7 linked regions of the Rattus norvegicus genome follow. The protein of the gene in region 6 interacts with the protein of the main gene of each other region in a biochemical or structural test. Links are inferred from orthologs where the notes say so. Each region holds a gene or a part of one and is shown on either strand. Other genes may lie near its edges.

The links.
Region 1: the proteins of Erbin (region 6) and Scn4a interact in a test that uses a peptide from one of them, tested with the Homo sapiens proteins (2 studies listed by BioGRID and IntAct). The link is inferred for Rattus norvegicus from reciprocal best matches to the Homo sapiens genes ERBIN and SCN4A.
Region 2: the proteins of Erbin (region 6) and Abcc4 interact in a test that uses a peptide from one of them, tested with the Homo sapiens proteins (2 studies listed by BioGRID and IntAct). The link is inferred for Rattus norvegicus from reciprocal best matches to the Homo sapiens genes ERBIN and ABCC4.
Region 3: the proteins of Erbin (region 6) and Mapk12 interact in a test that uses a peptide from one of them, tested with the Homo sapiens proteins (2 studies listed by BioGRID and IntAct). The link is inferred for Rattus norvegicus from reciprocal best matches to the Homo sapiens genes ERBIN and MAPK12.
Region 4: the proteins of Erbin (region 6) and Arhgef7 interact in a test that uses a peptide from one of them, tested with the Homo sapiens proteins (2 studies listed by BioGRID and IntAct). The link is inferred for Rattus norvegicus from reciprocal best matches to the Homo sapiens genes ERBIN and ARHGEF7.
Region 5: the proteins of Erbin (region 6) and Smad2 form a complex in vitro, tested with the Homo sapiens proteins (2 studies listed by BioGRID). The link is inferred for Rattus norvegicus from reciprocal best matches to the Homo sapiens genes ERBIN and SMAD2.
Region 7: the proteins of Erbin (region 6) and Kcna4 interact in a test that uses a peptide from one of them, tested with the Homo sapiens proteins (3 studies listed by BioGRID and IntAct, with this or other methods). The link is inferred for Rattus norvegicus from reciprocal best matches to the Homo sapiens genes ERBIN and KCNA4.

The regions. Positions count from the first base shown.
Region 1 is NC_086028.1:91,754,825-91,758,324, reverse strand, and holds part of Scn4a (sodium channel protein type 4 subunit alpha), read left to right. Parts: intron 1-238; coding exon 239-374; intron 375-738; coding exon 739-893; intron 894-2,405; coding exon 2,406-2,579; intron 2,580-3,019; coding exon 3,020-3,142; intron 3,143-3,500. UniProt on the Homo sapiens protein: Pore-forming subunit of Nav1.4, a voltage-gated sodium (Nav) channel that directly mediates the depolarizing phase of action potentials in excitable membranes.
Region 2 is NC_086033.1:101,948,913-101,952,412, reverse strand, and holds part of Abcc4 (ATP-binding cassette subfamily C member 4), read left to right. Parts: intron 1-2,356; coding exon 2,357-2,464; 3' UTR 2,465-3,500. UniProt on the Homo sapiens protein: ATP-dependent transporter of the ATP-binding cassette (ABC) family that actively extrudes physiological compounds and xenobiotics from cells.
Region 3 is NC_086025.1:122,089,808-122,093,307, forward strand, and holds part of Mapk12 (mitogen-activated protein kinase 12), read right to left. Parts: intron 3,219-3,500; coding exon 3,160-3,218; intron 869-3,159; coding exon 757-868; intron 644-756; coding exon 614-643; intron 354-613; coding exon 306-353; intron 1-305. UniProt on the Homo sapiens protein: Serine/threonine kinase which acts as an essential component of the MAP kinase signal transduction pathway.
Region 4 is NC_086034.1:84,481,960-84,486,062, forward strand, and holds the start of Arhgef7 (rho guanine nucleotide exchange factor 7), read right to left. Parts: upstream 2,801-4,103; 5' UTR 2,440-2,800; coding exon 2,071-2,439; intron 1,952-2,070; exon of another isoform or gene 1-1,951. UniProt on the Homo sapiens protein: Acts as a RAC1 guanine nucleotide exchange factor (GEF) and can induce membrane ruffling. Functions in cell migration, attachment and cell spreading. Promotes targeting of RAC1 to focal adhesions. May function as a positive regulator of apoptosis.
Region 5 is NC_086036.1:72,184,344-72,187,740, forward strand, and holds the end of Smad2 (mothers against decapentaplegic homolog 2), read left to right. Parts: intron 1-1,788; coding exon 1,789-1,912; 3' UTR 1,913-2,897; downstream 2,898-3,397. UniProt on the Homo sapiens protein: Receptor-regulated SMAD (R-SMAD) that is an intracellular signal transducer and transcriptional modulator activated by TGF-beta (transforming growth factor) and activin type 1 receptor kinases.
Region 6 is NC_086020.1:36,759,354-36,763,651, forward strand, and holds the start of Erbin (Erbb2 interacting protein), read right to left. Parts: upstream 2,801-4,298; 5' UTR 2,032-2,800; exon of another isoform or gene 1,482-2,031; intron 1-1,481. UniProt on the Homo sapiens protein: Acts as an adapter for the receptor ERBB2, in epithelia. By binding the unphosphorylated 'Tyr-1248' of receptor ERBB2, it may contribute to stabilize this unphosphorylated state.
Region 7 is NC_086021.1:114,213,897-114,218,135, forward strand, and holds the start of Kcna4 (potassium voltage-gated channel subfamily A member 4), read left to right. Parts: upstream 1-1,439; 5' UTR 1,440-1,516; coding exon 1,517-3,481; 3' UTR 3,482-4,239. UniProt on the Homo sapiens protein: Voltage-gated potassium channel that mediates transmembrane potassium transport in excitable membranes. Forms tetrameric potassium-selective channels through which potassium ions pass in accordance with their electrochemical gradient.

The sequences.
Region 1 (3,500 bases), on a different chromosome or scaffold from region 6:
TAAGTGCCATGGAGGGCAGAGCTGAGGGCATTTTTGTCACTAGGGTGCTTTTGCCAGGGCACAGTGGTGGTTTTGTAAGGGCTGAATGAATGAATGAACGAATGAATGAATTAATTAATTAATGAGCGAATGAAGGAGTAGATCCTGCTCTGCTCTCTTCTTTCTCTCTGGTCTCCCATACTACCCCACCTATTGGGAGAGTGGGACCCAGGAGTCACCTGCCCTGTGGTTCCCACAGAAGCCCCTACAGCCCCTCTACGACGGGAACTCCTCCGTCTGCAGCACAGCTGACTACAAGCCCCCTGAAGAGGACCCCGAGGAGCAGGCTGAGGAGAACCCCGAGGGGGAGCAGCCTGAGGAATGCTTCACGGAAGGTGAGATCACACCTACAGACCAGCCCCACACCCAGGTCAGAGGCCAGCAACAGAAACAGTTCTGCTCACTTTGACGGGGGAACCCACACCTGAACCAGAGAGTCATTTGCCAAAGAGCCTAAGCTTGTCGAGATGGTGGCCCGTGGGAATAGCTGACGTCCCGAGCTTGCTTGGGAAGCACTTTTTCTCAGTCTCAACAGCAGTGACATACGGGCTGTGGAGAGCCCCTGAGCTCCTGTGTGAACTAGATGCAGCCACTTGTGGGGAGGAGGTGGGGCCCCAGTCTTGGGTAGCATGGCAGAGGGTGGGGAGGTGTGTTCTGACACAGCCAAAGGCCAGTGACATGTACCACCCTGCCTCCCAGCCTGTGTGAAGCGCTGCCCCTGCCTCTATGTGGACATCTCCCAGGGCCGTGGGAAAATGTGGTGGACACTGCGCAGGGCCTGTTTCAAGATTGTTGAGCACAACTGGTTTGAGACCTTCATTGTCTTCATGATCTTGCTCAGCAGTGGAGCCCTGGTAGGCACCCTCCCCCAGGGGACAGGGCGGGAGCAGGAGTAGGTGCCTTGCTCCCTAAGGCTTCCATACCAAGGATGGAGACAGACCGGACATGTCCAAACCCAGGGGATCTGAAGGGGAGGGGACGCATCTGTGTGTGTGTGTGCGTGTGTGTGTGTCTCTGTCTCTGTGTGTGTGTGTCTGTCTGTCTCTGTCTCTGTCTCTGTGTGTGTCTGTCTGTCTCTGTCTCTGTCTCTGTGTGTGTCTGTCTGCCTGTCTCTCTGTGTGTGTGTGTGTCTGTCTGCCTGTGTGTGTGTGTGTGTGTGTGTGTGGTGTGTGTGTCTGTCTGTCTGTCTCTGTCTCTGTGTGTGTGTGTCTGTCTGTCTGTGTGTGTGTGTGTGCGTGTGTGTGTGCGCGTGCGTGTGTGTGCGCGCGTGCGTGTGTGTGTGTGTGGTGTGTGTGTCTGTGTGTGTGTGTGTGCGTGTGTGTGTGTCTGTCTGCCTGTCTCTGTCTCTGTGTGTGTCTGTGTGTGTGTGTGTGTCTGTCTGTCTGTCTCTGTCTCTGTCTCTGTGTGTGTGTCTGTCTGCCTGTCTCTGTCTCTGTGTGTGTGTCTGTCTGTCTGTGTGTGTGCGTGTGTGCGTGTGTGCGTGTGTGCGCGCGTGTGTGTGTGTGGTGTGTGTGTGTGCGCGCGTGTGTGTGTCTGTCTGTCTCTGTCTCTGTCTCTGTGTGTGTGTGTCTGTCTGCCTGTCTCTGTCTCTGTGTGTGTGTGTCTGTCTGTCTGTGTGTGTGTGTTTGCGTGTGTGTGCGCGCGCGCGCGTGTGTGTGTGTGTGTGTGTGGTGTGTGTGTGTCTGTCTGCATGTCTCTGTCTCTGTGTGTGTCTGTCTGTCTGTGTGCGTGTGTGTGTGTGTGTGTGTGTGCGTGTGTGTGTGTGTGCGCACGCACGCATGAGAGTGTGTTGTGGATGGTAGGCGTCTTTCTCAATTGTTCTCCATCTTTTGCATTGAGACAGGGTTTCTCACTGAACCTGGAGCTTGCTGTTTGGGTTGTTTGAGGGGATTTCCTGTCTCTGTCTACTGTAAGCCTGGCATTGCAGGCAGGCCGCTGCTGCCACCTGGCTTTGACATAGGTTCTGGGAGCCCAAACTTCCAGCTCTCGCATTTGCAGGACAGATAAGGCACCTCCCCAGCCCAGCATTCATTTTCTTAAAGTAAAAGACGGGGCCCTTTGTTTCGTGGACCCTGTCCCCTCAGCCAACGGGAGGTGGGTGGGAATTTGAAGTTAAGGGTGGACAGGACTGAAGACACATTATATTGTCGACCCCCGGAAGATAGTCGAGAACGAAGACTCCTTCCCTACCAGGAGTCTCGCCCCTCCTGGTGATGGGGATGGAGATGGAAGATACGCAGAGGCCCTACAACCTACGACCCCTGAAAGACCCCTGGGAACCAGCCACAGCAGGCAGGATGGGGAGCAGCGCTTGCTGCCCCATCTGCCGAGCCCCTGGCCATCGTGGTTTGTGCTGGTGTCCCCAGGCCTTCGAAGACATCTACATTGAACAGCGACGAGTCATCCGCACCATCCTGGAATACGCCGACAAGGTCTTCACCTACATCTTCATCCTGGAGATGTTGCTAAAGTGGGTCGCCTACGGCTTCAAGGTGTATTTCACCAATGCCTGGTGCTGGCTCGACTTCCTCATCGTGGACGTGAGTCCCCCGGGTCCGGCCACGGAGCCGGGACGTCATGGCCTTTAGAGAACCCAGGCTCTGGGGGGTTTGGGGGGGCCTATCTGAATCTATCCATCAGACCATCCAGGTCAGCACTGCTCCCTGTAGACCAGCCTCTTCTTTCCCAAGCATGACAGTTCAGGCCTGGGTCTTATGATCCCTGCCAGTGCAAGATTCTTATTGATAGACACATGGAAGCATGGGAGATGGGTACCGTCCTTCTCATTTATGGTTGTAGGTGACATCATTGAGGTGAGCCCTGGCTCTAAGGGTGCCAGAGGCCACAAGCCTTCTCTTCCCAACAGACAAGATTATCTATCAGGGATGGGGTCTACAGGAGACACAGAAACTGGGACACCCTTCTCATATGTAGAAAAAAGTCAGGGACCCTCCACCTCCTGAACGCACACTTCTTCCAGGTCTCCATCATCAGCCTGGTGGCAAACTGGCTGGGCTACTCTGAGCTGGGGCCCATCAAATCCCTGCGCACACTCCGGGCCCTGCGACCTCTGAGGGCACTGTCTCGATTTGAGGGTATGAGGGTGAGTACTAGAGAGGAGGATGTTAAGGAAGGCTCGGGATATGGGAACAGCCACCCACAGGCAGGGTTACAAGGTGCATGAAAATACTTCAGCCAACCAAGGGCAGAGGGATCAAAGTGTTGATGCCTGGAGTTTAGGGGCTGTGACCCATCTCCAGGTAGCCCCATTCCTACGCCAGGTTCTAGTAGACTCTAAACTTAACTCTGCCACCACTGGAGGGCGGCAGAGGCTGCTGCGGTGGCCTGAAGGCTTGATTTGAGGCAAGATGAGGAAGATCTACCTGTGGGTTTATGGAGGTCCCCAACACAGTCTGAGGGCCCCAGTGTCCTGTAACGTGGGCAAGTGATTAAGTATTTCT
Region 2 (3,500 bases), on a different chromosome or scaffold from region 6:
AGTTACCAGCCAGCAGGTACCCCAAGCCCCAGGCATCTCAGCCTGCCATCCTGCCTCCTAGACTACCATATTAACCCCACTATCAGTGTCTCAACCGCAGGCCTGGGAGTCCGCAAAGATCCTGTCAGGAGGCCCACCTAAGAGAGTGGAAGCCGCAACTGTCCTCACGTTTCCGATCTGTAGCCTTGCTTTCCACACACTGAGGAGCTGTTCCTCTGAGCAACTGTCAGTAACACACCCAGCACTTGGCCCAGCATGTTTTCAGCCTGCAGTTTGTAGCCATTAATTAGTTCCTATGAGGTAAGTCTTTGTTATCTGGTCTTTACAGATGAGGCAGACAGTGTGGAAGGAGGCTAAGTAGACGTTGCAGCATCAGCTGGGTGTTGAAGAGAGAGACGGAGACTGGTCCCTTTTAGCCTAGGCTCAGCCTGCGGCTTGATGGCCCAGTAGAGAATGTTAGCCATCTTTCGGCTTGATCTCATGTAGATGCTGTGAGACTGGGAATCTACAACTGGTAGAGTGTCTTGCCCGGAATGCATTAACCACTGGGTTCACTCCCCAGCACCCCTGTTTTTAACAGACACTCCAATGGTGGTACATGACTATAATCCCAATATTTGGAGGTGGGCGCAGGTATTGGGAGTTCAAGGTCATTCCCAGGTCTAAGATAAATTCAAGGCCAGCCTGAGACCCTTGAAACCCTGTCTCCCCCAACTTAAAAAAATGTTAAATTAAATTTAAAAGAAGATGCCCAGTCTCAATCATGCCTTTATCAGAATGTGTTATAAACATGGTAGGAAAAAATTCAAGTCAGGGCTTTTATACACCTGAAATGGTTCTCGGCAAAGCATCCCTGACGGGAAAACCAAGACCATTTTAGTTGACATGTATGGGCGTCTTGCCTGTGTGTATGTGTATGCGCCGTGTGCACGCGGTGCCCACGGAATCCAGGAGAGGGCGTCAGGTCCTCTGGAGCTGGACTTAAGAGTGTAGGTGGAGATGACATTGACATTCGAGTACACAGACACACCAAAAAGAACAAGTTCATCCTGTGTTCGAAAGCGCGCGCTCATGGCGGTCGTCTCAGACTGTTCCATAGGACCTTTCTTCTTCAGTGACATTTCTCTCGTAAAAGGAATCTTCCGTGCTGTGGTATTTAGGGAGAAGTTTGCCAGCAACCCAAGGGAGGTATACTTACTAAGGAAGTAGACATCCGTGACCTTGTTACCTGGGAAGCCCATCATTCCCACCGACAACTTTGTTGACAGCGCCCATGTATATAAACCCACAGCCTGGGGCGGGGGGAGGAGCATGAGGGGGAGACCCAACTCGTGCGTGACTTGTGTCAGCTCAGAGAGATGCTACGTTTTCTGTTTTAAAGACTCTAACAAAACTTTTCACATTCTTCTCCGAAGGGGGGGAAAAATTGCATTTGAAGGCCTTTTTCACGCAAACACATTTAGAGATAAGAGCTCACAAGTCCTGACATTATTTCATTTTGTAATACGCATCTGTCAGGGAACCCAGATATGATACAGCCGCTAAAAACTGACGATTGGGGAACAGAGAAGCCTGACAGCATTTCATGTCCTTTATGTTCTGATTACACGTTTATCAGAGAGCCTGTATCTCTGCTATTGGAATTGGCAGAATTCAGGAATTCAAAGGCCTGGCAAAGAGCCGTCCTATTATTTGGTGTCATCTTCTATTTGAGAGAAGTCGCCTGGCTGGGTCATTGTTACAGCATTTGCTTCTCTTTTCATTGCGGCCCCGCTATCCACAGATCGCGGTTCTGTAGGCCCTACGACGGCCTTGCTGCACAAATTAAGTGCCGGGATATTTCACGCGTAGACGCCAGAGTTTCAATGCTTGTCAATCAGAGTTTGTAATATATAGGGATTACAAGCTGATATTAGCATCCAGGTCTATTGTGTTCATTTTATGCGCGAAAATGGGAAACTTCAGTACAGGCGCCTGGCCTCTTTGTGTGACACCCCACACACACACCTACCCCCACCTCCCGTTTTTTAATTTATCTCTGAGTATTTGAGTCAGTGAAATGATTTTGCTTATCGGTTTAATGGCGTGATAAAAACGTATCTGTGAATCAAAGTGATCAGAGCTAAAGTGGATCTCCAAGTCATTGGGCATTCAGCCCTGCCGCGCTGAGGGTTTTTCTCCGCCGTTTCACGGGATGTGTGCTTGCCTGGACTTCTAATTGCGCCTCAATGGGTGTAGTGATTACCTCATCGAACGCTATGATTAATTTGCTGGATGGAGACAGACAAGCATTGCCTCCGAGAGGAAGGCTTGAAAATGTACTCATGTCCTTTTTTCGCCTGCCTCTTTTCCACAGGTGTACTTCAGACGGAATTATCCGGATATTGCATTCAGCAGCCCTGCGGTTATGAGCACCTCCAACGGACAGCCCTCCGCCTTAACGATATTTGAAACAGCATTGTGACTACTACCAGGACGTCAAGTCTGTTTCCAGGGTGTCCCCTGCCCCAACAAGGGGCTCGCACTTCTTAGACTACAGCACTCCTGGTTTTCATTCTGCAACAGATCCTTCACAGACAAGAGACCGGCGTCTTTGGACTTTCCCCTTCGACCTTATCCTGTGACTTCAGGTCCTAACAACATGGCCTGTTGTTTTATTTAAATGTTCCTACTGTTCTTTACAAATCCAGTTCTGAGGTGCAGGCCACTGACAACAGCTGCCTACCAGGTTTTGTGCCTTAACAGACTCTAGGGCCAAAGCCCGTGCGTTTTATAAGCTGTCACAGTGGGTTGTTTCTTCCTCTTGCCTTAAAAGTACACTCTCCGGGTGCGTCAGGGACTCTGTTTACTTGAAGACGGTGTGCAGATGCCAGTTTGTTTCCCTGCTTTCTCTGACTTAGCTAGGACCCGTTACTTCTCCCACAAAGGCCTCTGGTTAAAACAGAACAGATAAAATTAACAGGAACCACAACAACAAACCAAAAAAAAAAAAAAAAAATCCATATAATTTAAGTAACATTGCTGGAGAGAGACTATCCCACCACCCACACGCATACAAAGACGCACGTCTGAAGTATGTTGAAGCATTCATGTTGGAAAGTCAACTTCTGCTTTCTCAGAATGGGAGGCCTGGCACTTCTTAGGTGCCCCTCCCCTCCATCTGTGCGAGCCCCTCTGGACTGCCCATGCACTGATACACTGGTCGTCGTGACACTTCCCCCAGACAGTGGCTCTCAAATGCATAATATCAATCTCATTTTGGCTCCTGGTTTACAGGAGGCAGACCTCCTATTGGCTGTAAGCCTTTCGTGAAATCCTTTCAGATTGACTCCAGAAGCTAGTGAAAGCCTGAAAATCGTTACAGTCATCCCATTGTACGCCCTCAGGATGCTGTGTGGAAGCTTCACTTTCTAGAACCCATGCAGATTAGTTATCTTTGACCACTAATGGCAGGCCTAGAGGACCTTCTGATTAGTCAGTCAACAAACCACAACACTTCC
Region 3 (3,500 bases), on a different chromosome or scaffold from region 6:
ATGTGGTCCAGAAGACTGTACGAGAGTTGGGCTTGAGGTTTCTACACTGGAGCTTTGTGCCACCCTTTGGTCTTGAGCCCCAAGGATTCTCCCTGTGGTCGGTGTCCCTGGCCCTGCCCACCTCAGGAGGAAATACTGAAGATTTCCCTCTGTTTCACCATCCCCTAATCACCTTTAGGAGCCTCCTAATGGAGGCTCAAATGTCTGAGTTCTGTCCCTCTGCCTAGGCCAAAAGTCAAGCAGGGCAGTAGGAGAGTGGAAGGGGTCCCAACCCCCGCCATTGTCCTCTCCCCTCCCAGTGATACCTTCAGCTCACAGTCCTCGTTCACAGCCAGGTTTCCAGGTTTCAAGTCCTGAGAGAAGAAAGTGGCCACTATGACCCACCTACCAGAGCAGGGCCCAGGCAACACTTTACTTGAGCCCCCAAAACTGGCCTGGCCCCTCTGGGGAAGGGCAGAGGGGCTAAGTCCCTGGGGAGAACTGGGGATTACAGGTATTTCCGCCACAGTCCTATCTTGCTCCTTACAGTTAAGCAATGGGCCCTGGGGTTGAGCACTTCTGTCTATACAGTTGGGAGGAGCAGGGGCAATCTCCCAGTCCCTCCAGAACTCACCCTGTGGATGACGCCGGCAGCGTGGATATACTGTGGAAAAGAGGGAGTTCAGCAGCCATCAGCTTGACTCCAAGACACAGAGACCTGCCCTGACCAACAGGAAGTTCTGCCCACTTCCCTATGGCCACCTCAGCAAAGCTCACCTTCAGCCCCTTCAGCATCTGATACACAAGAAACTGGATTCTGTCTTCACTCAGAGTCTCGTGCTTCATGAGCTTGCCCAGGTCAGTGCCCATGAATGGCATCACCAGGTAGCTGTGGAAGCAAGGGAGGCAGCCAAGGGATCAGGGCTAGTCCCACCAGGCCGGGCTGGGCCCAGTTCACAACTCTCGAGATCCCATCCTGGCAGGTGCCACCAAAGCAACTTCACTGTAGCACCCAGTCATCCCTAGCACTGAGGATCATACCATCCTACCATGTCTCTACCCCCACCGTGCCATGCTAGGCACCAACCCGCCCTCTGATCACACTTGTCCTTGGCAATTACATCTTCTCAACCCATGCCCACATCCCCTCATTCCAGAATGGCAAGCAGGGAGTGGGCTGTGTGTCAGGGCTATTTTGTTTGGGCTTGGGGGCTCTTTGTTTGTTTTTTTTTTTAACAAATGTTCATTTATTATATATGAGTACACTGTAGCTGTCTTCACATACACCAGAAGAGGGCATCGAATCTCTTTACAGATGGTTGTGAGCCACCATGTGGTTGCTGGGAATTGAACTCAGGACCTCTGGAAGAGTAGTCGGGTGCTCTTAACCGCTGAGCCATCTCTCCAGCCCGGGCTCTTTAAGGAAAGGTCTCACTTTGCAGTCCTGTCTGGTCTGAAACTCACTGTATAGACCAGAATGGCCTCAAACTCACAGAGAGCTACCTCTCTCTACCTCTGCCTTCTAAGTGTTGGAATTAAAGACTTGCACCTCTACACCCAACCTTGTCTTTTTATTTTTTTAAAGATTTATTTACTTATTTATTTATTATATATAAGTATATATGTATATATACATATATAAGTATATATATACATATATAAGTATATATGTGTGTATATATACATATATATATACATATATGTATTATATATAAGCTGTCTTCAGACACACCAGAAGAGGGCACCAGACCCCATTACAGATGGTTGTGAGCCACCATGTGGTCGCTGGGAATTGAACTCAGGACCTCTGGAAGAGCAGTCAGTGCTCTTAACCGCTGAGCCAGTTCTCCAGTCCCAGCAGTCAGTGCTCTTTTTCTTTTTCTTTTTTTTTTTTCTTTTCTTTTTTTCAGAGCTGGGGACCGAACCCAGGGCCTTGTGCTTGCTAGGCAAGCGCTCTACCTCTGAGCTAAATCCCCAACCCCTATAAGTACACTGTGGCTGTCTTCAGACACACCAGAAGAGGACATCGGATCTCATTACAGATGGTTGTGAGCCACCATGTGATAGCTGGGAATTGAACTCAGGACCTCTGGAAGAACAGTTAGTGCTCTTAACCGCTGAGCCATCTCTCCAGCCCTCTTTTTTTCTTTTTTCTTTTTCTTTTTTCTTTTTTCCGGAGCTGGGGACTGAACCCAGGGCCTTGCACTTGCTAGGCAAGCACTCCACCACTGAGCTAAATCCCTAACCCCTAGTCAGTGCTCTTAACCATTTCTCCAGCCCTTGCTTTTGTTTTTGGAGACGGGACCACATGCAGGCCAAAATGGCCTTGGAATGCTGACCCTCCCAGCTCTATCTCTCAAATGCTGGGGCTGCGAATGTGTGCACTGCCACACTCCCCCTCAGGGTTGTAAAATTCCTGACGTGGGGGGGGGGGGCATCGTACGCAGCAGGGTGAGCAGCTAGGGCTGCACCTGATGCTGGCACCTCAGATTACTTAGTCAGGTACTGTGAGGGCCCAAGTGTCAGGCTTGGAAGGAGACAGTTTGGTTTTACCAGGGTGTGCCAGTATCTAGGGGTACCAATAGTCCATAGGGTTGTGGCGAGAAGTGAACGAGCTCTACGCACCTCAGCCCTCACTTGAGAAGCCCTCGCCATGGGAAGGAAGAAGACCTCAAGCCAACGTAGAACCTGAAGCCAGTACCCAGAAGCTGCCTAGGCCCCTCCTACCACACATAGGGTGACCAGGAATCGGGGGCAGGGGTTGGAGCCGCAAGGTATCTAGGTCACAGGGATGTTCAGGTGAACGGAGGGATAGACAAGGGAAAATGGTATTATCACTCACACAAGTTCATGGCTCCCAGGAGCATATAGGAATATGGAGTAGACTGTGGTAAGAGGAGTGGGTGAGCAGTGTGCACCCTATCCCTCACATGGGCTATGACCCCTTTGGGGGTCCCATATCGGACATCCTACACGACAATTCATATCAGTAGCAAAAGTTATGAAGTATCAACAAAACAATCTCATGGTTGGGGGTCACCAGGACATGAGGGACGCAGCATTAGGAAGGTTGAGAACCACTGGGCTCTGGGACGAAGGCCCTCAACCTGGCCCAGAACCTTAAGCTGACACTTAGAAGCCACCCAGGTTCCTGCCCCCCACCCAGCCACTAGCACTTACAAGTCTGTGAAGTCATCCAGAGTCTCATCGGGAGTGAACACATCCAGCAGCCCAATGACCTGCGGAACAAGTGGCAGACAGGATAGAAAGCACACAGGAGCTGCGAGGCCTCAGGGCACCCCCAGGGTGGCACTGTACTCCAGGCAGAAAACCCTCCCATAACTATCCTTGTCTCTTCCACTGTCCCCACTGTCGGCTCAGCCCCCATCCTGGTACATTTGCCCACAGACACAGGCTATTTTTGGATGCTGACAGCCGGGATTCTCTGGGGGAGGGAGGGGCAGTCTCAGGTCTGGGTTGGCTCCAGGCCTCTGAGCAATCCAGCTCCTTTAGTCTTCTGT
Region 4 (4,103 bases), on a different chromosome or scaffold from region 6:
TCTCTGTCTCTGTGTTTCTCTCTGTGTCTCTCTCTGTCTCTGTCTCTGTGTCTCTCTATCTGTCTCTGTCTGTCTCTGTCTGTCTCTCTCTGTCTCTCTCTGTCTTTCTCTCTGTCTCTGTCTCTGTGTCTCTGTCTCTCTCTGTCTCTCTGTCTCTCTCTGTCTTTCTCTCTGTCTCTGTCTCTCTCTGTCTCTGTGTCTCTCTCTGTGTCTCTCTGTGTCTCTCTGTCTCTCTGTCTCTCTCTGTCTCTCTCTGTCTCTCTCTCTGTCTCTCTCTGTCTCTCTGTCTCTCTCTGTCTCTCTCTCTCGTCAGAAATGAAAGAGCCACTACAGCTTCCTTAGGAAACCTTCCTAGAATTTAAAACAGAATATGAATCTTGAAGTTTGCCCGACCATATTAATGCTGCAAACACGGCAAGTGCGGTGCGGAGTGACGGGGACATGTCTGTTGACATGGCCCAGGAATCTTGTTACAGCTTCACCTCGGAAACGGAGCAGGGCTTTCTTTAAGCCTGTTTTGGAGAACCTTAGCATGTATCTCACTCAGACATCTGTCTTTTATTATCAAGGGGCACCAACAGCCAGATGACAGCAGCCGGGTTTTCTCGGTGCCTGGAAAGTCAGACCCTTGCTCTTCAGTCTTCCCATCTTAACTCAGTGATCTGCCTCATTGATAAACAGCTTTTCCCACATCAGTTAGTCCTTCTTAGATGCATGTCCTTTTCATAATAATGTTCAGGAAAATACCTAAAACCTGTGGTACCCATGCAGAACTCATGTTAAATGTTTTCTGACTGACACTGCAGCATGCCAATTTATGAATAAAATTACGATGTCTGCTTTTTCAGGTCACTTAATACACACTAACAAATTGTCCTGCCTAGGGCCTGGGCGTGTGCATGTGTGTCTGTGTGTGTGCGTGCGCGCATGCGTGTGTGCGTGTGTGCATGCATGCGTGTGTGTGCGTGTGCATGTGTGTGCGTGTGCATATATGTGTGTGTGTCTGTGCGTGTGTGTGCATGTGTGTGCGTGTGTGTATATGCATGTGTGCGTGCGTGCGCGTGCGTGCGTGTGTGTGCGTGTGTGTGTGTGTGTGTGTGCGCGCACGCGCGCTCCATTAAGGAATGCTACTTCTTCCTAATTATGGGGAACTTCCATTTCTGTATTCAACATCTTTTAAGTTACTAAGGATCTCAAGTTTTCTTGTAAACTGTGTATTGGCATAATCTTGGACACGGGACTTTAGTATTTTTTTTTACTTTGACCTATAAAAGCTGGCTGTTCTTAGAAGCGCTCCCAACCCCTGACCCTGCCTGCTCTGTGAGCTTGCAGATGAAAACAAACTTTGGTCACCCAGAGCTGCGGTCAAGGTTCACACTGCAGCGCCAGGGAGCCACCAGCCTGCAGCAGCAAGTAGACTGCTCCAAACATAGCAGGCACTGAAGATGAAAATTCCGATCCATCCCCCAAAAAGTCCGGGCTTTAATACCCTGTGTGCGCTGTTCTGCAGGCTTGAATGAGTGAGGAATCCCCTTGATAGGGAAAGCGGTAAGTCATTTAATAGCTCGGCCCTCGCTTGGCTTTTGATGCATCCTTTAAACATGCCCAGCCACCGGTCCATTCAACGCAAGGGTGAGACTGCAAAGCCAGCGACGAAAACCGTTCAAACAAAGCCATCGCAGAAAGCTTCGCGGCACAGAGATGAGGTTTTCTGATCGGTGTTGGCGAGGGGCGAAGCCGACCTCCCAACTTCACATTAGGGTGGAGCAGAACCCTACCGCCGCCCGCACAGCCAACTCTCCTTCTCGTGACCCCGAGCCGGCCCCGAGCGTCACCGCGGCCCCCTCTGCTGTCTGTGCTCACAGGGCGGGTCCCCTTCCCGGATCCCCGCACACAATGGCGCCCCGAACTCCCGCCGCCGGTCCCCGCGCCTGGCGCGCCGCCGGGTCCGCGCACAAAGGAGGGCGCGCGGGCCCCGAGCCGGCGCGCGCCAGGTGCTCCCGCGCGCCCCGCCGCCCGCCGCCCGCCCGGGCCGGGGACCCACCCGAAGACCGCGCCATGGCCACTTACTTTCTCGATGGTCCCGGGCAGCAAGCGCTCCAGCAGCCGGCATAGGACCACCCCGTCCTTGAGCGACGCCTGCAAGAAGACCTCCGGGTCCGAAATGGTTTTCTTGGGCGACTCCAGCACGCCCAGGGTGATGAGCCACGTAACGGTCTGCTCGGCAGAATTCATCGCTGCGGCGGCTCGGGCTGCGCGCACAGAGGGGGCGCCGCGCGCGATCACCTCGGAGCGGCCCGGGCCGCGGCCACCCGCGCCCCCGCCGCCTCCGCGCCCATGGGCGGCCGCGCGCCGGCGATTGGCCCGGCCGGCCCAGCAGGTCCCGCTCGGCTCCGCGGGCTCGCGCGCGCCCTGGCCCGCTGTCAAGTGCCTTTTCATTAGCGGCGCAGGAACCTGCGGGCGCCCGGCACCGCCCCCGCCGCCGCCCCCCGGCCGCGGCCGCCGTCGCCCGATGACATCACCGGAGAAGAAAGACGCGGCGGCCGCCCGCGCGCACCCCGCGCCAGCCCGGGCGCACGACAGCTGGCGCGCCCCCCGCTCACCTGCGCCGCCCGCGCGCCCCGGGGCTGCGCGCCTTTGTGGGTAGGGCGGCGCGCGATTAGTAAGCGCTTCCCAGAATGCTCTCTTGAGCTTGCCCGCCGACTGCGGGGCGCGGGCGTCTCTTCGCCACCTCGCCAGCCGGCGGGGATGGCACGCACATGCTCGTTAGATCTGTGACCAGATGGGTCTCACTCTGGCAGGAGCGAGCGTCGGGGACGCGGACGCGGTGCTGCGCCGCTGGGTGCAAGGCCACTGACGGCGGGGTGGGGGTGGGGTGGGGGTGGGGATGGGGGTACGGGGAGGAGCGGGGACGGGGGACGCGGGCGACCTCGGTAGCCAAAAGCCTTTCATGATTCCTCGTGAAATTGACGGTGACGTGTCCAGCGATCAAGAGCACACCGCAACCTCGGGTGGGTGTGCGTGGAAAGGGGGAGCAGCGTCTGCTGGAGAGCGTGCTGGCCACGCTTAGGCCCGGAACTTGGGCATCCTCTTCCAGCGCAAAGGATGTGACAGGAGCCTGGGGGTAGGTGGGAGCTCACCGTCAAACGATATGATATGGATTCCCATTTACTCCAGCCCATGGCCCTATGCTTTCCCTGCTGGCTGGCACTCCTCCATAGTTTAAAATAGAGCTTGCAATGTCCCAGGAGACCTTTCCCCTTGAGCCAGGCACTCACCCTGTAACTTCACAAGGCTAGAAGCCAGGCGATGCTGTCAGAAAAGGATCGCAGGTTCGACCCTCTCCTCTGTATTTTCCCAGGTGCATCCATCACCACCATCGATTGCACCTAATAGCATCTTCTGGCTAAGTGACTATGTTTCTGTTCCAGACCCAAACAAAGCATTAAAATGGTGTGATGTTTGTTGAGGGCCAGCTTCTCTGTGATGGCAGCGGCCTTCAGTGGAGTGCTGGCCAGCCCTAACCAAACACTGTTGTCATTTCGGTGTCTTTACCACCGACAGACCCAAGCCTCACTTTTTGTCCATTTTCCTCGTTACATATGACACAGACAACAACCCTGAGTCTGTCAACCAGAGCTGATCAACCCCGAAGAAACATTCCTTAGTGCTGAATTTGAAAATTAGCTCTCGGGCTGGAGAGATGGCTCAGCGGTTAAGAGCACTGACTGCTCTCCCAGAGGTCCTGAGTTCAATTCCCAGCAACCACATGGTGGCTCACAACCATCTGTAATAGGATGCTCTCTTCTGAAGTGTCTAAAGAGAACTACAGTGTACTAACATATAAATAAAATAAATAAGTCTTTAAAAAAAAGAAAAAAGAAAATTAACTCGTTACCAATTTTAAATCCTGTTAAACGAGGTAGGGCCTTAACATGCAGTACAAAAGATAGCTCCGTATATTGACCGTCAAGTGGCCCTAAGGAAGCCAGGTCGAAGCCGACTTAACAGACAGGAAGCTGGGAGCCAATGGTCAGAGTGGACCACTGACTACACCCACTCATTTTGGTAAAAAGCCCCTATGCTGCTAAATGATATAGCCT
Region 5 (3,397 bases), on a different chromosome or scaffold from region 6:
TGTGGTCTCGCTTCTCCTTACCCCAGTCTGCTGAGTGTACGGGATCTCCAGCCTGCTACACATGCAAGCATGGCAGAAACCCTCATGCAGGTGCCTGTGCTTGGAAGTTGCCTAGAGCATCCCGAAGACCCAGGGGTTACTTGAGTTGATACCACGGGATAAAAAGCACTACATACATGCTTGGACACTAAGCTCCCCTGCAGTGCTTTTTTTTTTTTTTTCTTATTTTTTTTTTCTTTTCTTTTTATCGGAGCTGGGGACCGAACCCAGGGCCTTGCGCTTGCTAGGCAAGAGCTCTACCACTGAGCCAAATCCCCAACCCCTCCTGCAGTGCTTTTAATTATGTGTGTATCATCGTGTGTGTGTGTGTGTGTGTGTGTCTGTGTCTGTGTCTGTGTGTCTGTGCGTGTGTGTCTGTGCGTGTGTGTCTGTGCGTGTGTGTCTGTGCGTGTGTGTCTGTGCGTGTGTGTCTGTGCGTGTGTGAATGGCATTGCCTGTGAAATCCAGAAAGGGTTGTAGCTGTCTGGAGCTGGAGTTGCAGGTGTTTATAGTTGCCAGATGTGGGTCCCGGTCACTAACCTGGGTCTAACAGAGCATCGCATACTCTCCTGCTGAGCCTTCAGCCCTATGGCTGTCCAGTCCTCAATGCTGTCAGGCATGGATTGTTTAAAGATGGAGACCTGATAATGTTCTTCGACCATGATTGAAGAATGTCATGTTGAAGAAGCAAAAGTAAATGTATTGATAACTCTTTGTAGCAAATAAGATTCAGGGAGTAGGCAGTGCCCCCTTTGTTAAAGCCTAGATGGTTTTAATTTCACTTTTTAAAGTAGAAGCCTGAGGGGTGTTACTGACAAGGATGTTGCTTGTTGTGAGTCTTAGAGAAACTTTAGCTTCAAATCTTAACATTGTGTGGTAAGGATTTAGATTGGGTCAGCAGACTTTAAAATTGAACCTTGTTCTGGTGTAGGTTTCATTGATAACATAAAAGTAGGGGGTCATATGTGTCATTTTCCTTGGGGCAATCTTTCCTGGTTTTTGTCTCTCGTCCCGGCCTCATTATTAAGTACCTTCCTCTCACAGGCGTCCCATTTGAGGTGGCAGGTAAATAGCAGTGTCAGTAGACTCATTTAACTTCAGGAGAAAGGATAGTTTGTAAATCTTTCAAAAAGGTGGACTTCTGGGGAGATAGCTTGGTTGGTAAATCTCAAAAGTTGGCCACTACAAGGACTTGAGTATGAAGCTCCAGCATCCACAAGACCCGGACACAGCTGTGTCTAACATCTGCATGGGGTGGGATGGGGTGGCTGGGACTGAGGACCTGAGGCTGGGGGACAGATGGACTCTGGGAGCTTGCTGGCCAGGCAGTCTAGCCAGAATAGGGAGCTTCGGGTTCAGTGAGTGACCCTGACTCAAGGAAACAAAGTGAAGTTGAGGAAAACATCCGACTCCCTTCTGGCCTCTGCGTGCACCTAGAAACATACATATGTACCACACATAAAGAAATAAAATTCTTAGGGGCTGGGGATTTAGCTCAGTGGTAGAGCGCTTACCTAGGAAGCGCAAGGCCCTGGGTTCGGTCCCCAGCTCCGAAAAAAAAGAACCAAAAAAAAAAAAAAAAAAAAAAAGAAAATTCTTGAAAAAGGAAAAACTCATTAGTTCATTTTAGCAGTAAAAATTAACCATTTTAAAATTAATAACTATATATAAAACTAATAATTATTCTAAAAAAATATTTTATTATATATAGCCTTTTAATTTTCTAACTTTTTGTGTTCTTTCAAACAGGAGGCAGACAGTAACAAGTACTCCTTGCTGGATTGAACTTCATCTGAATGGCCCCCTGCAGTGGTTGGACAAAGTATTAACTCAGATGGGATCCCCGTCAGTGCGATGCTCAAGCATGTCCTAAAGTCCGTCAGCAGTGGAGCTCATTGGAAGACTTAACGTACCAACTCCTCCGCCACAGTACTCGTGTGTGATCCCGTGGACTGTGCTAGTCAAAACCCAGAGCGAAAACAGCACTTGAGGTCTCATCAGTTAAAGCACCTTGTGGAGTCTGTTTCCTACATTTGAATTTTAGATGGGAAATTAGTGTCTAGAAATGCCCTCCCCAGAGGGGACAAAGAAGACTTAAAGACTTAATGATGTCTCGTTGGGCATAAGACAGTGTCCCAAAGGTTATTAATACCAGTAGTAGTTGTGTACAGTAATGTGTCCAGACCCAGTATTGCAGTGCTCTGCTGTTTGTATACCTTCTTAGTGTGCATAAATGAGGTGTGTGCTGCTGCTTGGTCTAGGCAAGCCTTTATAAAATTACAGTACCTAATCTGTTATTCCCACTTCTCCGTTATTTTTGTGTCTTTTTTAATATATAATATATATATCGAGATTTTCAAATTATCATTTAGAAGCAGATTTTCCTTGTAGAAACTAATTTTTCTGCCTTTTACCAAAAATAAACTCGTGGGGGAAGAAAAGTGGATTAACTTGGAAGTCCTTGACCTTAATGTGTCCAGTGGGTCTTAGCATTCTTTCTGTGATCATTTTCTGCTGAATTGCATTAGAAGGAAACCTTGTTGGAAACTTCCAGGCTCTTTGTGCCATTTCTGTTCTGATTCAAAGCAGTGCAGCATGATGTCATTGTGGTAAATAGTTGCACTGATGGCTTCTGGGTTAGTTACTTCTGAGTCCAGTAAAGGATTGTGTGAGCAGTAAGTCCTTTTGTCTTCTAACCAGACTTCAGCAGATGATAACCAGTTGTTCCATTGATTAACTTTTGTCTCAAACGTGCACAGGTGACAGTATAATTATTTTCAGGGCTATTCTAGAATCATCTCAGTATGTTTCCTTCTTCCAACGCCAGTCTGATAATAAAGTATCTTTCTGTAAAGGCAGTCAGCTTTTGGCGTCATCTCACTTTACTACAGGTTGTCACAGAAGAGACCTTTGTTAGCTGATGCTGAAGTGTCATCAGCAGATAGGGCCATCTGTTCCTAAAGTGTATCGTCTGTAATTTATAATAAATAGAATGTTATATTGCCTAGTTTCAAAATTTTAAATATTGTGAGCTAAGCCGTTCAGCAAGATTTCTAGCCCGCAGTTAGCAGTGGACTTCACTCTTCTTGACTAATCCTGGGTGTGTGGTTTACTGACCTTTCTGCTCTGCAAAAAGGTGATCCCAGCTGTCCTGTTGGCCCTTTGCTCTGCAGCACACAGCAGTCACGTCCAGTGCTGATTCCTTTGTTTGCAACTCCGTACAAATGGAAAATACTTCCCAATCTCCTCTTTGTAAACTTTCATGTTTTTGCAGACAAATAACTTTGGTACTTACTCTCTGTGACCATACTCTCATGTATGTACAGTAATCATTTTTGATGCTTTTCAACATTTGGTT
Region 6 (4,298 bases):
AATAAGAAATCTCTTTTCAGACCGTTGCTGCATTTTAAACAAGACTCCAAAAAATATTTGACTTGAAAATAGTATAAAACCTAAAACTCACTAAGCTAATTTGATGCTAAATTTACCCAACTTTAACTGCAAAATAAATGCCTTGTTGAGGAAAAAGGGGGAATCAAAGGTTCACAAAGGTGGAACCTCACATTTTCAACATGTCAAAAAGCTAAACATACTACTCTTTCAAAAATAACCTACTTCTTTAAAGGGTGGGTGTGTTAAGTAGGCATTTTCAAGTGACATGATACTTTATACAAAACAGAATGACACAAAAACATCTTTGCAAAGTGTTCATTCTCTAAAAGACTTGCTCTATTAAGGCTCTGAGGCTGAAGCCAAGTAGAAGCCATAAAAGGAAAGCGAAGTTCAATGTCATTTATTTTGTTCCCCTCTTTCATGTGCTCAAGAATAACCTCTTTCGCTGCCTAATTATATGTCCCCAAATCATAAAGTTCACCAGTTATGCACTTTAAACTCCTTCATAAAGCAGTCTGACTTTTAACAGGAATAACTTGATGGTTCACAAATCTCACCAATAAAATAAAAATGAAAACAAAAACTCCAGAGACCAGGCCCTAATAACACAACAACATAAATACTGGAAACAATTCTCTTTTTGAAATGTACTTAATAAAAGCCAAATAGCCAAGAACAAGTTGTGAACTCACTTGATCCTGATCTATAAAACCTATCTTTCCTCTTTCAACTAAAGGAAGTCAACTCTTTCCCCTCAAGTTTCTGGTAATTATTTTGGTAATATCTGATTAAACATCAATTTAAGCTTAAGCTACATCTACCTATAGTTAATATTTATTTAAAACACAGTATTATCTGTCACTTCCCTTACCACAAAAGCACTTGGGGGGAAGAGGGGAAGCAAACAAACTACACTTACAAAGGCACACAATTGAAGCACTACTAAGGGAAAAGACAGTAGGGTAGACTGCAACCAAAACTAGTTTTACCCATAAAGAAGGTTTCATTGGTTCAGAAGCGTTCCTAAGTCTGACTGGTGGAATGTCTGCCATGCTTCACGAATTCCTGCCCGCACAGTCTGTACCTATCACTTATTAGGCAGAACCAAACAAAACCAGATGGGCCAACACGAAAAAATATGAGGACCATACATCTGCAAAACAGCGCCACTTTTTCGCACAATGTGACTCTCCTGAAAATCTTAAGGATTTTATTTCTCTTCCCTTCCAATGTTGTTCCTAATCGGAACGGCATACAAGTCCTGACTAATCAACTTCTTGCAGGTGTTTGGGTTTTGTTTTGGTTTGGTAGCCATATCCTTCTCCGTCTCTATCCATACTCTTTACGACATTCTGCTTCCTAGAACGCCAGTTTCAAGAAAAATTTAGCAGCTGCTCGTCCTCAATCAGGTAACCAAACAAGCACTGTAAGCTACGGACTGAAAAGAAGGCATGACTTACTACAAGTAGTTCCTTGGCCGTCCAGAAAAAGCAATCGAGAATGGCAGGCAGGCAGTTTCTTAAGTCCAAAGAAAAAGACGTGCCTTAAAACGACCTCCATGTAGGATTAACGCGAAAACCAAAACAATCCACACCAACATAAACAAATGTGGCAGCCATCTCAGTGAGAGCGAATCAGTCTCTCCCCGCAGCGAGACTTAACTTTCTTCCGAAACAAAAGTTGCCAGACTCAGCAACTTGATATACATTGTATACGTCCCGGAACACTAAAACTTCTGGCCCTTATGCTCAACAAAGGAACTCTTTCTTCCGACGGCTGAAAAACTTTTCGTCCCACCACATTCTTACAACCCCATCTTAAAAAGAAAGGAATCCAGACGGTAGACGGGGCAAGGGGGTAAATCAGTTTTACTATTCAGTTGCTAAAACGACAAGGCATTCCGACCAGGGAGAAAGAAGTCAGACAACTCGGGCAGAGCGAGGTAGACTAAAGTACCGTCGCTTCCGGCCCACGAACTTGGCTGGACGCTTCCCGTAAAAAAAAAATTACCTCTCCGGGTGTCTCAGGGCAGCCGTCCCGAGGCTCGGCTTGACATGGTTTCCTGCCCTTCCTCAGTGGCTCCGGGCCCCGCCGAGGCTCCCGCGAGGACTAGGCGGATGTGGAGCTGCCGCCCGCAGCAGCGCGGCTGCTTCGGTGGGGGCTGGGGTGCGGGCTGGCTTCCTGCTTGCGACTTCTGTCAGGAGTTTCCCAGCCTCGTCTAGGTTCTCCGCCGAAGGAAAAAACTTTTCACTCGTGACACCGCCCGGAATTGCCGTGCGAAACTCACTTCCTGCCTGGGTGAAAAGCAGGATCCAGCTCGGTGCCCGGGAACCCGGAACCCCGGGGCGGCGCGCCGCCGAGGGGGAGGGGACGGCGCCCGCCCCGAGCCGCGGGACCTTGCGCGGCCCACGGGGGCGAGGACGCGGAGCTCCGCTGGCCTGGGCCGCACTAGGCCTCCGCCCCCACAGCCGCGCCGCGCGGGTATTGTCTCGAGTGCGCCGGCCGCACCCTGCGCCCGTCCGGCCCCCGCCGCCCCGAGCCGGAGCCGACCGGCCGCGCAGGCTGGAAGGCGACCGTCGGTCGGGCAGTCCGACCGGCCGGCCCGGTCTCTGCCACTCCCGCTCTAACCCTCCAGTCTCCCCGCCGCAGTCCCTGCGCTCTCCCCGGTTCTCCTTCCCCGCAGCCGCGGTGGCGCGGTCTCCTCAGGAGCTCGCGGGCCCGCGCCAGGGGCCGAGGCTGCGTCGCGCGCCGCCGCGCCACCTTCACTCGAGCGGGAGACGGAGAGGGGAGGCGAGGCGGAGGAGAGAAAGGAGGAGGCGGACCCGGGCCGGACCGGGGTGGAGGGAGTTTCTGCCTCACAGGCCGCGGCGGCAACAGCGCCACCGCCCCGGCGGCTAGGGGGCCGAGGCTGCGCGCGGCGGCGGCGGCGGCGGCGGCGGGGGCGGCGGCGGCGGCGGGGGCGGGGCGGCCTCCCGCGGGGGCGCCCCAACCGCCCACAGCCGGGCGAAGGCCGGCGCGAGCCAGTCAGCGCGCACGGGGTCTACGCGCCCGACGTCGGCGGCGGGGGGCGCGGGCCGGGGGCCGCGGGCTGGCTGGGAGGCGCGCGACGGGAGGCCCGCCCCCCGAGGCCGGGCCCGCCGAGCTCCCCCGTACGACCCCGCGAGGCCTCCGCCGCCCCGGCCGATCGAGTTTCTTTGTACGATCGTAATTGGTGCAAAGAGGTTGTTCAAGTGCAGCCCCGATTTCCAGGCAGCAGGTATCTCTTTCAGCCGCAGCACTCCGACATCCTCTAATGGCACGCTCAGGTTGCAGGAAACCACGGCCGCGGCTCCGTGCAGCTTCTTTCCACGCCGGGCCGGCCTCCGAGCTTGCTGGAAGCGGCGACGCGCCTGGGGCCCCTCCGAGGAGACAAAGCTGGTGCTGGGAAGGGGAGCGGGGCCCGCGAAATTGCCTCAAGACGGTGCCTTTGTTAGAGGAAACATTGGATGCACTCCGAGCGCTGCGCAGCCTTCCAGCCCCTACGCTTTCGGGCGTGCAGTCGTTCAGTCGCGCTGGCCCTGGTAGTTCTGCCTGGCAGGGTTTGCGTTTATTGCAGAGAGAGACTTAAGCATTCTGTCAACACATATGGCTTAGAAAGCTTCAACCATAACATTGCCGTTTTTACAGTTACTGCTTTAAGTATGTTAGCAGACAGAACATCCTTGTTTTACCCGAGGGAATGGAATAGATTCTGGGCAAACCATCGTCCACCCCCACTCTTCTGTATTAACTATGCACAGGGATGGTAATTAGCCTCTGGGTCCTTCAAGCCACTGGTTCAGTACTTCCGTCTGTAGCCCAGAGATAATTATTCATCACCAACTTTGAATAAAAAGCTATATGCCTTACAGATGAGTTTTGGCTTGCATCCAAGGGAATGAGTTCACGAAGTCCACCAAAGAATTATTTACTAAAGTGAGTTCTACGCCAGAGACGAATACTTGGAATAACTCCAAAGATATTCAAGTCATTTTGAATCGAAGTGGAAGCATTTTAGCTACCCCCAAAACTGCTAGTATTAACACGAACATAAGATTCTTAGCACAGAGGACAGTGGTATCAGGCCTCTGAAAACATTTGACAACAGCCCTGGGAATGGCAGATCTAGTAATTTCAATTTGGGAATCTAACTTACACTGACAGGGATCTTAACCAGTGTGTATTTTTAAAAAAAGAACAAAACAATGTATTTGTACAGACCGTTTCATCGGACATGAGAAAGTCTTACACCATCTTCA
Region 7 (4,239 bases), on a different chromosome or scaffold from region 6:
TCCCCTATGTCAGACAGCAGCAAAGAATGTGGATTTTGGGAGTGGGTAGACAGATGACAGCCTAGTTTAATGCTGTATTATTCATAACTGCCTTATTTGTTGCCATTCATTGTGTACATTGACAGTGTGCTCTAGCATCCATGATCTCCATTGATCCTTTCCCAATGTGGGGTAAAGGGGATGGGTTATACTGTCTACATTTTATAGATTAGGTAATTGATATCCATTTAAGTAGTGGAGTTTAAACTGAAGAAAGCTGTTTTTTCCCTCACTTCTTTAATCCCAAGAAAAAGAAAAATGTAAGGGTACTTAATTCAGCAGCATTTCACGACTGAAATTTAAAGAGAATCCCTTGAGATCAATGAATACTGGAAACAGCTGTAAAGTCAGAGCATTGCTGTTGTGGAAGGAGGAGGAAGCTATTAAGAATTAGGAGCTGGCATTGGTGAAGGGGCAGAGGAAAGCGAGAATCGTGTGGGCTGAGAACGGACAGGATCGAAACAAATGAGTTGCCACAAAATTGACTGATCGGAAGCAATGGCCGAAGAAGACAGGTGGATGTTGAGTGGGAAAGATTTTAGAGCAGCCCGCCCTGTACTCTTGAAAAGTTATGCTCTCCTGGTGTGTGTTTCATGATTTGCCTGAGGACAAGAGAAGTGTATTCGGAGTAAAGGGCTGTTTGCTCTCTATGGTTTGATTCTTTTTTATTTTTCTCCTTTGCTTATCTCCCATCCCTTTTCAGGTGAAGTGCTCCTTCTGAATGATTCTAGCCAAAGGAGGCTCTTCACTTCCTGCTTTCTATGGATACCTCAGTGTTGAGTTTGCCCCTGCTGGAACCCCATCTACCACCTTCTCTACCTTTCAAGGTCTTTATCTACAACCTGCCATTGTCTGTGGTTCCGTGAAGGCTTTGATGACCTTAGAGGGAAGGTCTGGGAGACCATCCTCATAGACTGAGCAGCAATGGCTGGGCATATTTTAAGCCACATTTTAACATGGGTCAAGCTATCACTAGAAGGCAAGTGCTAAGACTAAAGACTTATTTGCATTTTATTTAAATTAGATGGACTTGGCTTTGGACAATTTCCATACAAGAAAAAAAAATATTTCATTTTCTAGGCACAACTTCTGACTGTCAGATTCTTGCTGCCTTTGAGTCTTGTAGCGTCATCATCAGACCGCATCCCAGACAGACTTCCAGATTTGAACACCTACCCCCCAAAACGTAGGTGTTTGGGAGACCACATCACTTCATGACTTATGTTTGAGGAGCACTAGGCTGTTGTCTAGACTAAGCAAGCTCTGGAAAGCAATGCTGAGTCTCTGAGAAGAGGGAGCATGGGGTGTGCTGATTTAAAAACAGAAAATGCAAAGTTGGACTGAAAATATCCCAAGTCTTCTAAGCAATCTGCTTAAGGCTTCCAAACTTACCTTAATTTGGTAAGAAAATAAGCTGCCCTATTTTTCTTTCTTCTTCTCTTACAACTGGAACCAGCCATTTCCCCAAACTACCACCATGGAGGTGGCAATGGTGAGTGCCGAGAGCTCAGGGTGCAACAGCCACATGCCTTATGGTTATGCTGCCCAGGCCAGGGCTCGAGAGAGGGAGAGACTTGCTCACTCCAGGGCAGCTGCAGCTGCTGCTGTTGCAGCTGCCACGGCTGCGGTGGAAGGCACTGGAGGTTCTGGTGGAGGCCCCCACCATCATCATCAGACACGTGGGGCCTACTCCTCCCATGATCCTCAAGGAAGCCGAGGTAGTCGGAGGAGGAGGCGACAGCGAACTGAGAAGAAGAAACTCCACCACAGGCAGAGCAGTTTTCCTCATTGCTCAGACCTGATGCCCAGTGGCTCTGAAGAGAAGATCCTTAGGGAGCTGAGCGAGGAGGAGGAAGACGAGGAGGAGGAAGAGGAGGAGGAAGAGGAGGGAAGGTTTTACTATAGTGAAGAGGACCATGGGGATGGGTGTTCCTACACTGACCTACTGCCACAGGATGATGGGGGTGGCGGCGGCTACAGTTCAGTCCGCTACAGTGACTGTTGTGAACGCGTGGTAATAAATGTGTCTGGTCTACGCTTCGAAACCCAAATGAAAACTTTGGCTCAGTTTCCAGAAACTCTGTTGGGAGACCCTGAGAAGAGGACTCAGTACTTCGACCCTTTGCGCAATGAGTATTTTTTTGATAGGAACCGTCCCAGCTTTGATGCCATTTTGTATTATTACCAGTCAGGAGGCCGCCTGAAGAGGCCAGTCAATGTCCCCTTTGATATCTTCACTGAGGAGGTGAAGTTCTATCAGTTGGGAGAGGAAGCCCTGCTCAAGTTCCGTGAGGATGAGGGCTTTGTGAGAGAAGAGGAGGACAGGGCTCTGCCAGAAAATGAATTTAAAAAACAGATTTGGCTTCTCTTTGAATATCCCGAGAGTTCCAGCCCTGCCAGGGGCATAGCCATCGTATCTGTCCTGGTCATCTTAATCTCTATTGTCATATTTTGCCTGGAAACCTTGCCTGAGTTCAGGGATGATAGGGACCTCATCATGGCCCTCAGCGCAGGTGGACACAGCAGATTATTGAATGACACCTCGGCACCCCACCTGGAGAACTCAGGGCACACAATATTCAATGACCCTTTCTTCATTGTGGAGACAGTATGTATCGTGTGGTTTTCCTTTGAGTTTGTGGTTCGATGCTTTGCTTGTCCCAGTCAAGCACTCTTCTTCAAAAACATCATGAACATCATTGATATCGTCTCCATTTTGCCTTACTTCATCACTCTGGGCACCGATCTGGCCCAGCAGCAGGGGGGTGGCAACGGCCAGCAGCAGCAGGCTATGTCCTTTGCCATCCTCAGGATCATCCGTCTGGTCCGAGTGTTCCGGATCTTCAAGCTCTCCAGACACTCCAAGGGCCTGCAGATCCTGGGCCACACCCTAAGAGCCAGCATGCGTGAACTGGGCCTTCTTATCTTTTTCCTCTTCATCGGGGTCATCCTCTTTTCCAGCGCTGTGTATTTTGCAGAGGCAGATGAACCTACCACCCATTTCCAAAGCATTCCAGATGCGTTTTGGTGGGCTGTGGTAACCATGACAACTGTGGGCTACGGGGACATGAAGCCCATCACAGTGGGAGGAAAGATTGTGGGGTCCCTGTGTGCCATTGCGGGTGTCTTAACCATTGCTTTGCCCGTGCCGGTGATTGTGTCTAACTTTAACTATTTCTACCACAGAGAGACTGAAAACGAAGAACAGACCCAGCTGACCCAAAACGCAGTCAGTTGCCCATACCTACCTTCTAATTTGCTCAAGAAATTTCGGAGCTCTACTTCTTCTTCCCTGGGGGACAAGTCAGAGTATCTAGAGATGGAAGAAGGGGTCAAGGAGTCTTTATGTGGAAAGGAAGAGAAGTGTCAGGGAAAGGGGGATGACAGCGAGACAGATAAAAACAACTGTTCTAATGCAAAGGCTGTGGAGACTGATGTGTGAATCTCTTTCCCCACCTGCCGCTGCCGCCCGCCCAGCTCCGAATATATTCATACATAAAGAATGCAGTTATGAAAATGAGATATGCACTGCATACAGTAATACACTGCTTAATGGCGATACATGGCATAATTGTGGCGAAACGTGTATTGCATATCAAATAAGTGATGCATCTTGGAGAAGAGGGAGGCATTAAAAACAGCAGATCTATCTTTATATTTTTTAATAGAATGCAAGAATTTTGCACATAATGGGAAAATGTTAATAGTAAAGGTGGTCCCGAGGAGAGTGAGTGTGTGTGAGAGAGTGAGAGAGTGTGTGGCCATGGGAGTGTAAGTAAATTGTCAACATTGTTGGGAATTGTGCCGTGATGGGAAAAGTTGGCATTCTGAAGTATTTACTATGTAAGAACTAATGAACTTGAGCAGTCTTTTACCAGTGTTTTAATAACATCTCCTATGTCTTTGGATTCTGTAGTTGTTTTCTAGAAATTGTAAGAATTACTGTGTAGAAAAAAGAGAAAGTAAATTATTTAATAGAATATAGGTCACAATTTAATCTTGGATTTAATTAAAGTTTATTTTTAACTGGAAATTAACTTTTGAAAAGGCTGCAGGGGCCTTTAGAAATTGATTATATTTTGTTATTAATTTTGGGGAGATATACTAGCAAATGCCTAATGTTCTGGAGGAAATGTAACAAGTTTTGTTCACAGGTCTTAAGACTGGAATTTTTTTTTCTTTTGCACTACTTTCTATGCT